Linked DNA regions of Mus musculus: region 1 is reported to be linked to region 2. The links are microRNA targets in miRTarBase. Many come from high-throughput screens and were not tested one by one. Region 2 holds a microRNA gene; the other region holds the end of a gene's coding sequence.

Evidence for each region. The annotated mature microRNA mmu-miR-3100-5p reads UUGGGAACGGGGUGUCUUUGGGA and lies in region 2 at 3,237-3,259, shown strand. An mRNA with a match to its seed (bases 2 to 7 or 8) in the 3' UTR can be bound and repressed. Matches are read on the target gene's strand: a 7mer-m8 pairs with bases 2 to 8, a 7mer-A1 pairs with bases 2 to 7 and ends in A, and an 8mer does both.
Region 1: the mRNA of Limk2 is a reported target of mmu-miR-3100-5p. Seed matches in the 3' UTR shown: 7mer-m8 at 2,719-2,725.

The regions. Positions count from the first base shown.
Region 1 is chr11:3,341,448-3,346,688 of GRCm38, forward strand. It overlaps Limk2 (LIM motif-containing protein kinase 2), which reads right to left. Exons shown (of 16, transcript NM_010718.4): 15 at 4,788-4,945; 16 at 1,850-4,437. The coding sequence ends at 4,293. Pik3ip1 (phosphoinositide-3-kinase interacting protein 1) reads left to right here. Exons shown (of 6, transcript NM_178149.4): 6 at 76-1,524. The coding sequence ends at 280. Among named protein-coding and RNA genes, the nearest start is that of Gm12592, 13 kb to the left of the region's middle.
Region 2 is chr7:19,083,592-19,088,832 of GRCm38, forward strand. It overlaps Mir3100 (microRNA 3100), which reads left to right and starts at 3,237; the gene lies at 3,237-3,301. It overlaps Dmpk (dystrophia myotonica-protein kinase), which reads left to right and starts at 267. Exons shown (of 15, transcript NM_001379257.1): 1 at 267-563; 2 at 2,395-2,486; 3 at 2,741-2,824; 4 at 2,898-2,993; 5 at 3,302-3,450; 6 at 3,649-3,742; 7 at 3,903-4,109; 8 at 4,410-4,673. The coding sequence starts at 404.

The DNA.
Region 1 (5,241 bases), not on the chromosome of region 2:
CTGCTCAGGCTTCACAAAGGCTAACTGAGCAAAGCCATGGTAGAAGCTCAACCTGATGCTTTCTTTTCCTGACAGGGGGAAGGACTTGAAAGAGCAACATGAGAAGAAAGCGTGTGAGAGGGAGATGCAGCGAATCACCTTGCCCCTGTCTGCCTTCACAAACCCCACCTGTGAGACCGTGGATGAAAACACCATCATTGTGCACAGCAACCAGACTCCTGCTGACGTGCAGGAGGGCAGCACCCTCCTCACGGGCCAGGCTGGCACCCCTGGGGCCTGAGCCCCTTCAGTGGGCAGGTGCCCATGTAAACACTGGTACAGGACAGGCCACCCTCCTGCAGTTGGGAGGAGCTACATTTTGTGTTGTGGTTAAAACCTTATCCCATTTTTCTTTTGGGGGGAATGTGACTCCTCATGACACAAGAAGATGCAGGTAGCATTATGGGTGAGGGTGAGGAGGCTGGGTAGGGTCCTATCAACGCTCCTTTTCTATCCCTTGGAGCAGAATTTGCCTGCGGAGAGAGACTGGCACAGTAGCCACAGTGGTGCTGTGGCAAATAAGGGCTTCCACATTGCCTGGGCCAAGGAAAGACTGGGAGCTGGCTAAAGCTCTTCTGTCCTGTATACTGAAGAAGGTGGCCTCAGTCTCTGCTTTTCCATTCGTCATCCAGGAACTTGAGTGGCATATACTGTTATTCCTAGTTAAGGTCAAGCATAAAAAAAACTATATATATATAAATGAAAGAAATATTTAGGATGAAAGTCCCTTCTGACTTCTAAGAACCTGAAATGAATCTGCTTGCTGGCAGCGATGTGCCTTGACAACTGTGGGATAGGCCTGGGCCCGAGGGTCTCTTCCTATCTCGTAAGGAAAGGGAAGAATTGCACTAAACTTTCCACTTAGGTGAAGGACCCGCTTCTGCCTTCAGCCTCATGCAGCAGACCAGAATATCCAGACTGTCTTTTGGGGGCTGGATAGAGGAACCTCTCAATTTTGCGCTGATAAGAAAATAGCCAATTCATGGGAATTACACACTTGAGAGTGTGGTGACCCGCAGCTGAAAGGTGAGCTTGGAGACCAAGCCAGAAGGTTGGTAACATGCTGGGGCTTGCGTTGTAGTCCTGCCGGGCTTGCAGGCCAGTTCCTTCCATAGGGTTAAGATTAACTGGTACAAAACAATCACTGCACCACTGCGAAAGACCTGAAGGAGTTCCAGAAAGGGCAAAGCAGCTTCCCAGTGTCCTCCTGGCCTTGGCAGTGTCCCCAGCCAGGAGCCCTTCCACTCCCAACACTGGGAGCAGGCTTCACCAGGCTGCTCTCATAAGCCATTTGTTGAGGGGGCCTGGATCTCAGGGTTCCCATGGTGGTGGTGACTGTGGGAAGAGAGCAGTACTACTTCCTACTTTCCTATGAAAGTATTTCTCTGTATGTTTTATATACCTCATTCTGACACCTGTGTATGAACTATGGCAATTTGTTTTGCTTTTGACTTATATAAACACAAGACATGGTTTTACCTTGCACCTTTTTTGTGGTGATGAGGATGCTCCCCGGATACCTTTGCCTTCTTGGTCACTTCCCAGCCCCTGGGAGATCGTGATCACTGAGTTGTTAGAATCGGGACGTCAAGGTCACCATGACTATCTTAACGTTGAAGCCCTTCAGTTTCTTTCCAAGGTAGAGCAGGGAAGTTTTAGGATAAACCCTCTCAACAGCCTTTGCTGGGGGTTAGAGACAAAGGGGCAGTTGACAATTCTGTAGCAGCCAAGGGACAGAAAGGTAGGTGGGCTGCCTGGGGCTTGGTGGCTCTTGTAGGTTGTGCCCTGGGTTAGAAGGGCCGGGAAGGTGCAGGACTGGTGTCTAAGTTTTATTAGTTGACCTCAGCAGCAGATTGAGTTGTAGCCCAGCACTGAGAACCTCAGATGAGGTGTTTACTAGGGACTGTATTTTATTCCATTCTTGGTTTCTCTGTGTAATGGCTCAGGCTGGCCTCAGATACACCTGCCTCTGCTGGGACTAAAGGTGTGTGCCACCAACACTGCCAAACATACATTCTCTTAATCTAAAGTCTTCTACCACAGGACGCTTAGGAGACATTATCTTTACGTTTATATACAAAATGACTTCATTTTAGGGCCACAAAGCTATTAGACCTGGCTTTCAGTGCTTTAGCCATAGCTGGCCCAAAATTCACTCGACAGACTTAGGCTGGCCTTGAACTTGGTTCCCCAGCCTCTGTATCTTGCGTGTAGACTTATAAACACACACTTCCACACTTGGCAGAGGCTGTGGGGCTTCTTTTTCTCTTTCTTTGGTGCCCAGGATCTTACCAAACATTGGCATTATTGGGCCAGTGGTCGGTGCAACAGCTTTGGAAGCAGAAGGCCCCTGAGGACTGGGTAAGCAGCTGAGAACCTGATAGCTTTGCGGGTCTAAGATGAGGTCATCGGCTGCTCCTCAGAGGGGCTCCGGTGGATGCATATGATCTCTGAAGGGTTGTTGTCCAGGTGAGGGGATTAAACTTGAGACAGAATTTCCTGGTAAGTTATATGAAAGTGGCCAGCAGACCATGTTTCTTTAAAACACTTTAAAATGGGAATTTATGTACCCAGAGCATGTCTGTGTACCATGTATGTGCAGGAGCCCACAGAGGTGAGATGAGGTAGAGTACCCCTAGAACTGGACGTACAGATGTTAGAGAGCCACCACGTGGGTGCTGGGAACCAAACCCTGGTCAGACCGTGATTATCCATCCTGTCCTCCGTGTTTAAGTCAGGCCCTAAGTCACTTTGGCACTCTCTGTCATCTCTATGTTAACTGCTTAATTTATTTAGTCTGCTTCATGGCCTAGTGCAGGCCCCACTCCCACACTTGCTGGGGACAGTGCAAGCATACTCAGTCAAGGACGCTGAACCATGCCCATCGGGAGTTCAGGATTCCCTCTGCAGCAAGTGTGCAAACTCCACACGCAAGTACAGTCTACACAGCAAGAAAAGTGGCCAAAGACTTCCCATCCCATAATTCATTTCGTCTATGTACAAAATATCTCACATATCACCCCAGAGATAAAAGCTAATAACAGCAACCACTCTTCCTGAATCCCCCCACCAGTACAACCCATCACATGTATTTATAACCAAACCCATTCCCAATTTGTTAAACATGGCGTGAGCTCCCGCTTAGATGACAAACCTTGGTGAGCTACAGAGTCCCTGGACACCTGGCAGCCAGGGGTAGAAAGTGCCCCCATAGTTGCCCATGCCCATGGCCCTCGAGTGTGGCTCAGGAAGCAAGCTGGACCAGCAACAAAAAGAGGTAGAATCTACAAGGCCCAGCTCAGGGTGTTCTTTTCCTATCTCAGTTTGGGGACTCAGCAGCCACCAATGCCTGTCCCACATTGCTGCCTGGCCCAGACATTCTAGAGGATGTGCAGTAGCTGCCACAAGGGTGCAAAGAAATTGATGGGACCCCCTTCTCTCTGCTTAGACCCAAAGTCTGAGGCAAACCAGGCTGGCATCCAGAACCCATGTACTGTTAGGCAACATGCTGAGCTTTTGACTGAGCCCACCAGCCTGGATACAGGGCTTTTAGAGGGCAGGGCCTGTTTGCAGCCCCAGTTTCTTTGGTGTTTTTGTGAGTGACTGCTTGTTGAGACAGGATGCTGAAGTGGAAACTCCCCATGCACTGATGTGGTCCCTGGGCTGTGAGCAGAGACCAGTCCTTTGTTGGATTCTGTAGGTTTTACCACATACTAAGACTCTTTAAAACCTGCTCCAAAGGGCATGGCCTGGGATGGAGGAGAAATCGCTACTGTCATTTCACATGCTTTGAAGGTTCCCCGTTTCTGTAACTCATACTACCGCTTCAAGTCCTGCACCTTGCTGAGCCAGACTCCAGAGCCCTCAGGCCAGTTCACTCCGTCATCTTGCCCAGCAGGCCCAGATCATGTTGATTAGTGTAAAGCTACAGCCTCCCAGAATCTCAATCCACAGAGGTCCCAAGTAGTCCCGAGTAACAGACTCTTGGTCTATAATCCAGGCTCTTTTATCCTCTTCACAGCTTTCAGGTGAGTGTTGGATTTACAGATAGAAACTAGGCCCCCAAAACTTGCGGAGAATTTTTTTCCCTGCACCCAAGTGCCTCCTGGGGAGGTAGTAGGGATGGCTTGTTGTGCCTCTAAGCAAGCCTTCAATCCACAGGAAACCTAGGCAGTCCTGCTCACAGCAAGGACAGCGTGCAGAGGGGGCAATGCTGGCTGTGGAATGTCCCCCTGCAGGGGGAGGGACCAGGGCTAGGGTGGCGAGTCCCGGGTTAGGCCATACTCCATGCTCACAGTGTGGTCCAGGTCTTCCAGCTCTGCTGGCAGTGGGATGGCCAGCTCCCCCAAGAACAGGGAGAGCGCCTCGAACGAGTCCTCCAGCTTTGAGAATGCCGGTCTGCAGAGAGAAGGGACACACAGACGTGAGCATCCAGAGCTGAGAACTGAACCCATGGCCCCATTCATTCCACACATTCTATTGTGGATCCACACACCGTGCCCAGATTTTCTTTAAAAACAAAACAAAACCAAACCCCACTGCTCTTCTATCTTGTCCAGCCCCCTTGCTTCTGAGCTGCCCCTGTTCCCTAATGTGGCTGTCGGAGATGTCAGGGGCTTGAGTGGTTTAGCAGTTTACTCTGGCGCTCAAGGATTCAACTGCTCATCCAGGGAAGGGCAGGGGTTGATCTAAAGCAAGCGTCTCGGGCCAGAGTGCTGTAAGGTGGGAGGAAGAGGTGAGACACCAACCTGCTTTCAGGCTCTAGTTTGCAGCAGATAGCAGCCAGGGGGAAGAAGGCTGGGGGACAGTCTGTTGGGACAAACTTCTCCCAGAAAAGCTTAACATTGAGGCCAAAGTCCAGTGTGCGGGGCAGGCAATCAGGATCCGCATATACCTGCCCAATGATCTGCAGGCAAAAAGAGGGATGGTCAGGAAGGACTACAGAGGCCAGAGACAGGAGGGAGGGTTGCTCTTATAGACAGATACGCAGGGCAGCAAAACCTCAAGTTAGAGGGGCAGCCCTGTGCCCCACCTCCCTTCCCATGCTAATCTAGACCCCTCTCTAGAGTCCGGATACTGAGGAGGGCTCAGAAGAGGCCTCCCTGCAGCAGAAGCAATGCTGGTAACTGGTACCTGAAAACTAGAAGCTTCCACTTACCCTACCCTGCCCATATCCCGTTACAGCTATGTCCTCTACCGGGT
Region 2 (5,241 bases):
TGAGTCTATAGACTGGCTCTCCTGGGCACTGACACCTCCCACCTGTAACTCCCTGTGCTCTCTTTATGGGTGGGTAGAGTCAATGGGGGGGGGCAACCCTGGAGTATTACTCTGTCCCCTGACATTGGGCTCTGAAGAGTTTTGAGGGGCCCTGGAAGAAGGGAGTTGGGGTGTTGGCTCAGGAGGGGTTAAAAACTGGGAGGCGGGAGGGGGGCTGGGCCAAGGGGTGGAGAAAAGAGGAGGAGGCCTTAAGCATAGAACTGGCCAGAGAGACCCAAGGGATAGTCAGGGACGGGCAGACATGCAGCTAGGGTTCTGGGGCCTGGACAGGGGCAGCCAGGCCCTGTGACGGGAAGACCCCGAGCTCCGGCCCGGGGAGGGGCCATGGTGTTGCCTGCCCAACATGTCAGCCGAAGTGCGGCTGAGGCAGCTCCAGCAGCTGGTGCTGGACCCAGGCTTCCTGGGACTGGAGCCCCTGCTCGACCTTCTCCTGGGCGTCCACCAGGAGCTGGGTGCCTCTCACCTAGCCCAGGACAAGTATGTGGCCGACTTCTTGCAGTGGGGTGAGTATGGATAGGAAGCCTGGGGTTGGGTGCAAGGCAGAGGTGGGTCTACAGGGCAAGAATGGGCTATGGAGGGGCAGGAGGGCCTGGAAAGGGCTTTTTGTAAGGGAGCCAAGCAGAGCTCATGACCTGACCCCAAGCTCCCCTGGTGAGGCACCAGGGTCAGTGAGGCCACCTATGACTCAGCCAGTGCAGGCTGGGGTGGGCATAGCCTCCTGCTATCTCAGCACCCACACTAGGACCTGGCAGCTTTCTCTTTTAGGACCCTTGGCTCCTCAAACTGGCTTCATAGCCCTCCCCAGTTTCCCAGAGTGTGGGGAGGGACAGCGTGGGGCAGCTGCCAGGGTGTGGCCCATAGGCAGGTGTTTGGCGTCTGCCTCCCCAGCTGCCCTGACAGGTGTCCAGGAGCTATGAGGGCACTGTGACTCACAGAGGCCCTGGGGGAGAACCAGCCCGGCAGACAGGCGCCACCGAGCACCCTTTCTGTTCCCCAAATTAAGAGGAAGGAACAACTTCAGCTTCTGAGTGTGCCCATCCCTAGCACTCTGATCCCGCCCAGCCTTTGTGGGCCAGATTGGTCATCCCTCCTGGCTTCTCATCTGCTTTTGTGGTTCTAGCTCAAGACCTCTAATTCCTCTGCTGACTTAAATGCCCTTCCCCAGAGGTCTTCTCAGGCCTAGTGGACAAGCTTGGAGCCTTATCTGCTCCTGCCCAACATTGAGCCAAAGCTCCAGCTTACCCCAGCTTCCTTACAAGTAACGACCTGTTTTGTTGCTCTGTGCCTATTATTAAGGGTCCAGGTCTTGATTCTTGGCTGTCTGCCCATGTGTGTGACCCTAGTGCATTCTCCCCTCCTCCCCCGTTTCACAGATGGAAAGGTTGAGGCCATCGGTTAGACTGCTAAGCCTGTGAAAGACTTTTTCTCCTCTCCAGTCTTTAGTGTCTCCCTCAACCTTTCTTTTGAAGGATGGGGTTTGGGCTGGCAGGGTAAACTGAGAACTGGGGTGGGGGCAGGGGGTCTGACCCTCTGGGAAGGAGCAGTCCTTTTGTGGCCTGAGCAGCATCCTGTGGGCCCCTCCCCTGCCAGGCCTGGGCGGGGGAGGGGGCCTGGGTTCCCGCTGCCTTAAAAGGGCTCAACGCCTTGGCTCTCTCCTCCTCCCCACCCCCCAGCCTTGGCCCTAGCTGTATCTTCCCCGGCTGCCCACTTTCCCAAACCCCTTTCTTCTCTGTGACCCCATCTCCCCGCTTCCCCACACGTCCCTCCTCCATCCTTACTCCCCGGCCTTAGAACTTCCCTAAGGGAGATCTGACCTCCCTCTGCCCACCCCGCACCCCCAGTCGCCAGCCTCAGACCTAGCTGCTCTCCCCTCTGGCTGAACCACCCTAGCACAGGACCTTATACCCTGGAGCTTTGGTTATAAGAAGACTCTCCTTCACCCTTTGGAAACCAAGAAAGCCCTTCCAACAGTGTCCAGGATGCTGGAGGGCAGTGACCCTCCCCCACTTCTTCTTCGTGCTGGCTGTGCTGACACAGCTCCAGTTCGAGGTTGTGGCCCGAGACATTAAGTGAGAGCCCCGGGTGACCTGACTTAGCACCCTGATCATCACATGGGAGTGAAAGGCCTGATGCGCCAGCTTCTCCCACTGCCTCCCTTTCTGCCCTGCAACCCTGTGGAAACAGGCAGTTCTGGGTCCCACAAACATCACAGAGGTTTTGAAAGCAGAATCCTAAAGCCGATTTAAGGGGCAGAAGGAAGGAGGCTATAAAGTCACTACCCTTACCGCTAGTGTTCTGATGACCCTTGGTTCTTCTTCCCCCACCCCCGCCCAGTGGAGCCCATTGCAGCAAGGCTTAAGGAGGTCCGACTGCAGAGGGATGATTTTGAGATTTTGAAGGTGATCGGGCGTGGGGCGTTCAGCGAGGTGAGTCTTCAGTGGCCTGGGAATGGAACTTTACTTGATGTGGGTGGGGCATAACAGCTGGGGCAGAGCCTTAAAAATTGATGAATGAGCTTGAATTTAAGGCTGGAGGGGTGGGGGCGGAGCTTGTGGTCAGTGGGCGGTGTGCACGTGAGGGCGGGGCTAAGGTTGGGTGGAGATAAGGGTGGAGTCCTGTCTGGGTGAGCCTTGCTGGTTTTCCCTGCCACCTCTTGCTGTCATCTCGGTTCCGTATTTAGGTAGCGGTGGTGAAGATGAAACAGACGGGCCAAGTGTATGCCATGAAGATTATGAATAAGTGGGACATGCTGAAGAGAGGCGAGGTGAGGGCCAGGGATTAGGGCAGCGCCCTCATCTCTCCAACTCACCTCCTGTAGCTTCTCTCCTACCTCACAGGTGTCGTGCTTCCGGGAAGAAAGGGATGTATTAGTGAAAGGGGACCGGCGCTGGATCACACAGCTGCACTTTGCCTTCCAGGATGAGAACTACCTGGTAAGCTCCGGGTTCAGGTGACTAGGAAAGAGTGACAGTTACATCGCCCCAAGTCAAGAAGGCTGGAGAAGGGAGAAGCTGCTGTAGATCGGGGGGGTGGGGGTGGGGGGGACACACACAGGGGATGGGGGACGGGGGTAGGATTGTGTCTCAAGTATAGGAGAGACCTTCCTTGAGACAGGAGTGATATCTGGTTTGGCCTTTGGATGGGGCGCTCTCTCACTGTGCGGGGGTCCTCTGTGCTTGGGAACGGGGTGTCTTTGGGAGTCTTGGGGGCTACCAAACCCCTGTGACACACCCGCTCCCAGTACCTGGTCATGGAATACTACGTGGGCGGGGACCTGCTAACGCTGCTGAGCAAGTTTGGGGAGCGGATCCCCGCCGAGATGGCTCGCTTCTACCTGGCCGAGATTGTCATGGCCATAGACTCCGTGCACCGGCTGGGCTACGTGCACAGGTGGGCGTGGCGGGGCCCTTGGAGGGTTAGCAGAATTTGTGTGGGAAGGAAGGGTACCTGAAGGTCAGATCCCATTGGGGACAGAATCGGGGTCTAGAATTGTAGAATCCTGGGTGGGGTGGAAGTGGATCGAGCTGACGGGCCCTAAGAGGGAAGGTTTTCAAGAAAGCACACTTTCCCTCTTCTCTCTATGCACAGGGACATCAAACCAGATAACATTCTGCTGGACCGATGTGGGCACATTCGCCTGGCAGACTTCGGCTCCTGCCTCAAACTGCAGCCTGATGGAATGGTAAGAAGAGCCTGGCGAAACTCTCCTCATTGGTGAAGGACCGGATTAGGGGGCGGGGCTGGGTTGAGGAGCAGGAGGGGAGCTTGGTCTGGGATGTCCTGCGCACCATATTTGGACAGTCAAGGGAAAGGTTTTAAGCATTCAGGTCTGATTGGCACAGGTGAGGTCGCTGGTGGCTGTGGGCACCCCGGACTACCTGTCTCCTGAGATTCTGCAGGCCGTTGGTGGAGGGCCTGGGGCAGGCAGCTACGGGCCAGAGTGTGACTGGTGGGCACTGGGCGTGTTCGCCTATGAGATGTTCTATGGGCAGACCCCCTTCTACGCGGACTCCACAGCCGAGACATATGCCAAGATTGTGCACTACAGGGTGAGCACAAGCACCATGCAGGGGGGCTGACTTAGTGGCTTGTGCTCCCAGACTGTCTTTTTTAAAAGATATTTATTTATATGTGTGTGTTTTCTGTGTATGTATATCTGTGCACTGAGTAGGTGTGCGAAGGTCAGAGGGCATGGGATCCCCTGGAACTGGAGTCACAGACTATTGTGTGCTGCCATGCTGAGTGCTGGGAAACAGAACCTTGATCACTCTGCAAGAGCAGCCAGTGCACTGAAACGACAGAGCCAGCTCTGCAGCCCAGGGCTAACTGTTGCTTTTCTTTCTAAATAGGAACACTTGTCGCTGCCGCTGGCAGACACAGTTGTCCCCGAGGAAGCTCAGGACCTCATTCGTGGGCTGCTGTGTCCTGCTGAGATAAGGCTAGGTCGAGGTGGGGCAGGTGATTTCCAGAAACATCCTTTCTTCTTTGGCCTTGATTGGGAGGGTCTCCGAGACAGTGTACCCCCCTTTACACCAGACTTCGAGGGTGCCACGGACACATGCAATTTCGATGTGGTGGAGGACCGGCTCACTGCCATGGTGAGCGGGGGCGGGGTACGTACCTGCAGTTCCTGATCCGTTGAGGGGACTTCCCTAGCCTCTTCCATAAAATTGGGGTGATTGGCCAGGTGTGGTGGTGCATACCTTTAATCGTAGAACTTCATAGGCAGAGGCAGGTGGCTCTCTGGTAAATCAAGGCCATCTTGGTCTACATAGTGACTTCTAGGCCAGTCAGGAGTGAGATCCTCCCTTGAAAAATAAAAAAGGGGGTGTTGACCTTCCTGGGTCCCAAATTATTATCCTAGAGCACTGCTATGTATCCACTCAGGTATGAGGACACACAGGTGACCAGTCCCAAAGACAGTGAGTGAGGCCTCACTCTTGGCAGTACTAAAATTGATTGTAGGGGGCTGGGCTCTTGACCCAGCCTGGAAAGTGCTGGAGGGCTTCCTGGAGGAGGAGACTAGCTGAGCCCAGAAGGATGCAGGAGATCCTTTCTCGGGTGAGTGCTCTCAGCATTTTAACAAGCTCTAGGCCCTGCAGAGAGAAGTCTGGTGTGGGCAGAGCCCCAATAGAAAGCAACAAGATAGAAGAGAAAATGGTGGAGTTTGTTAGTGGGGGC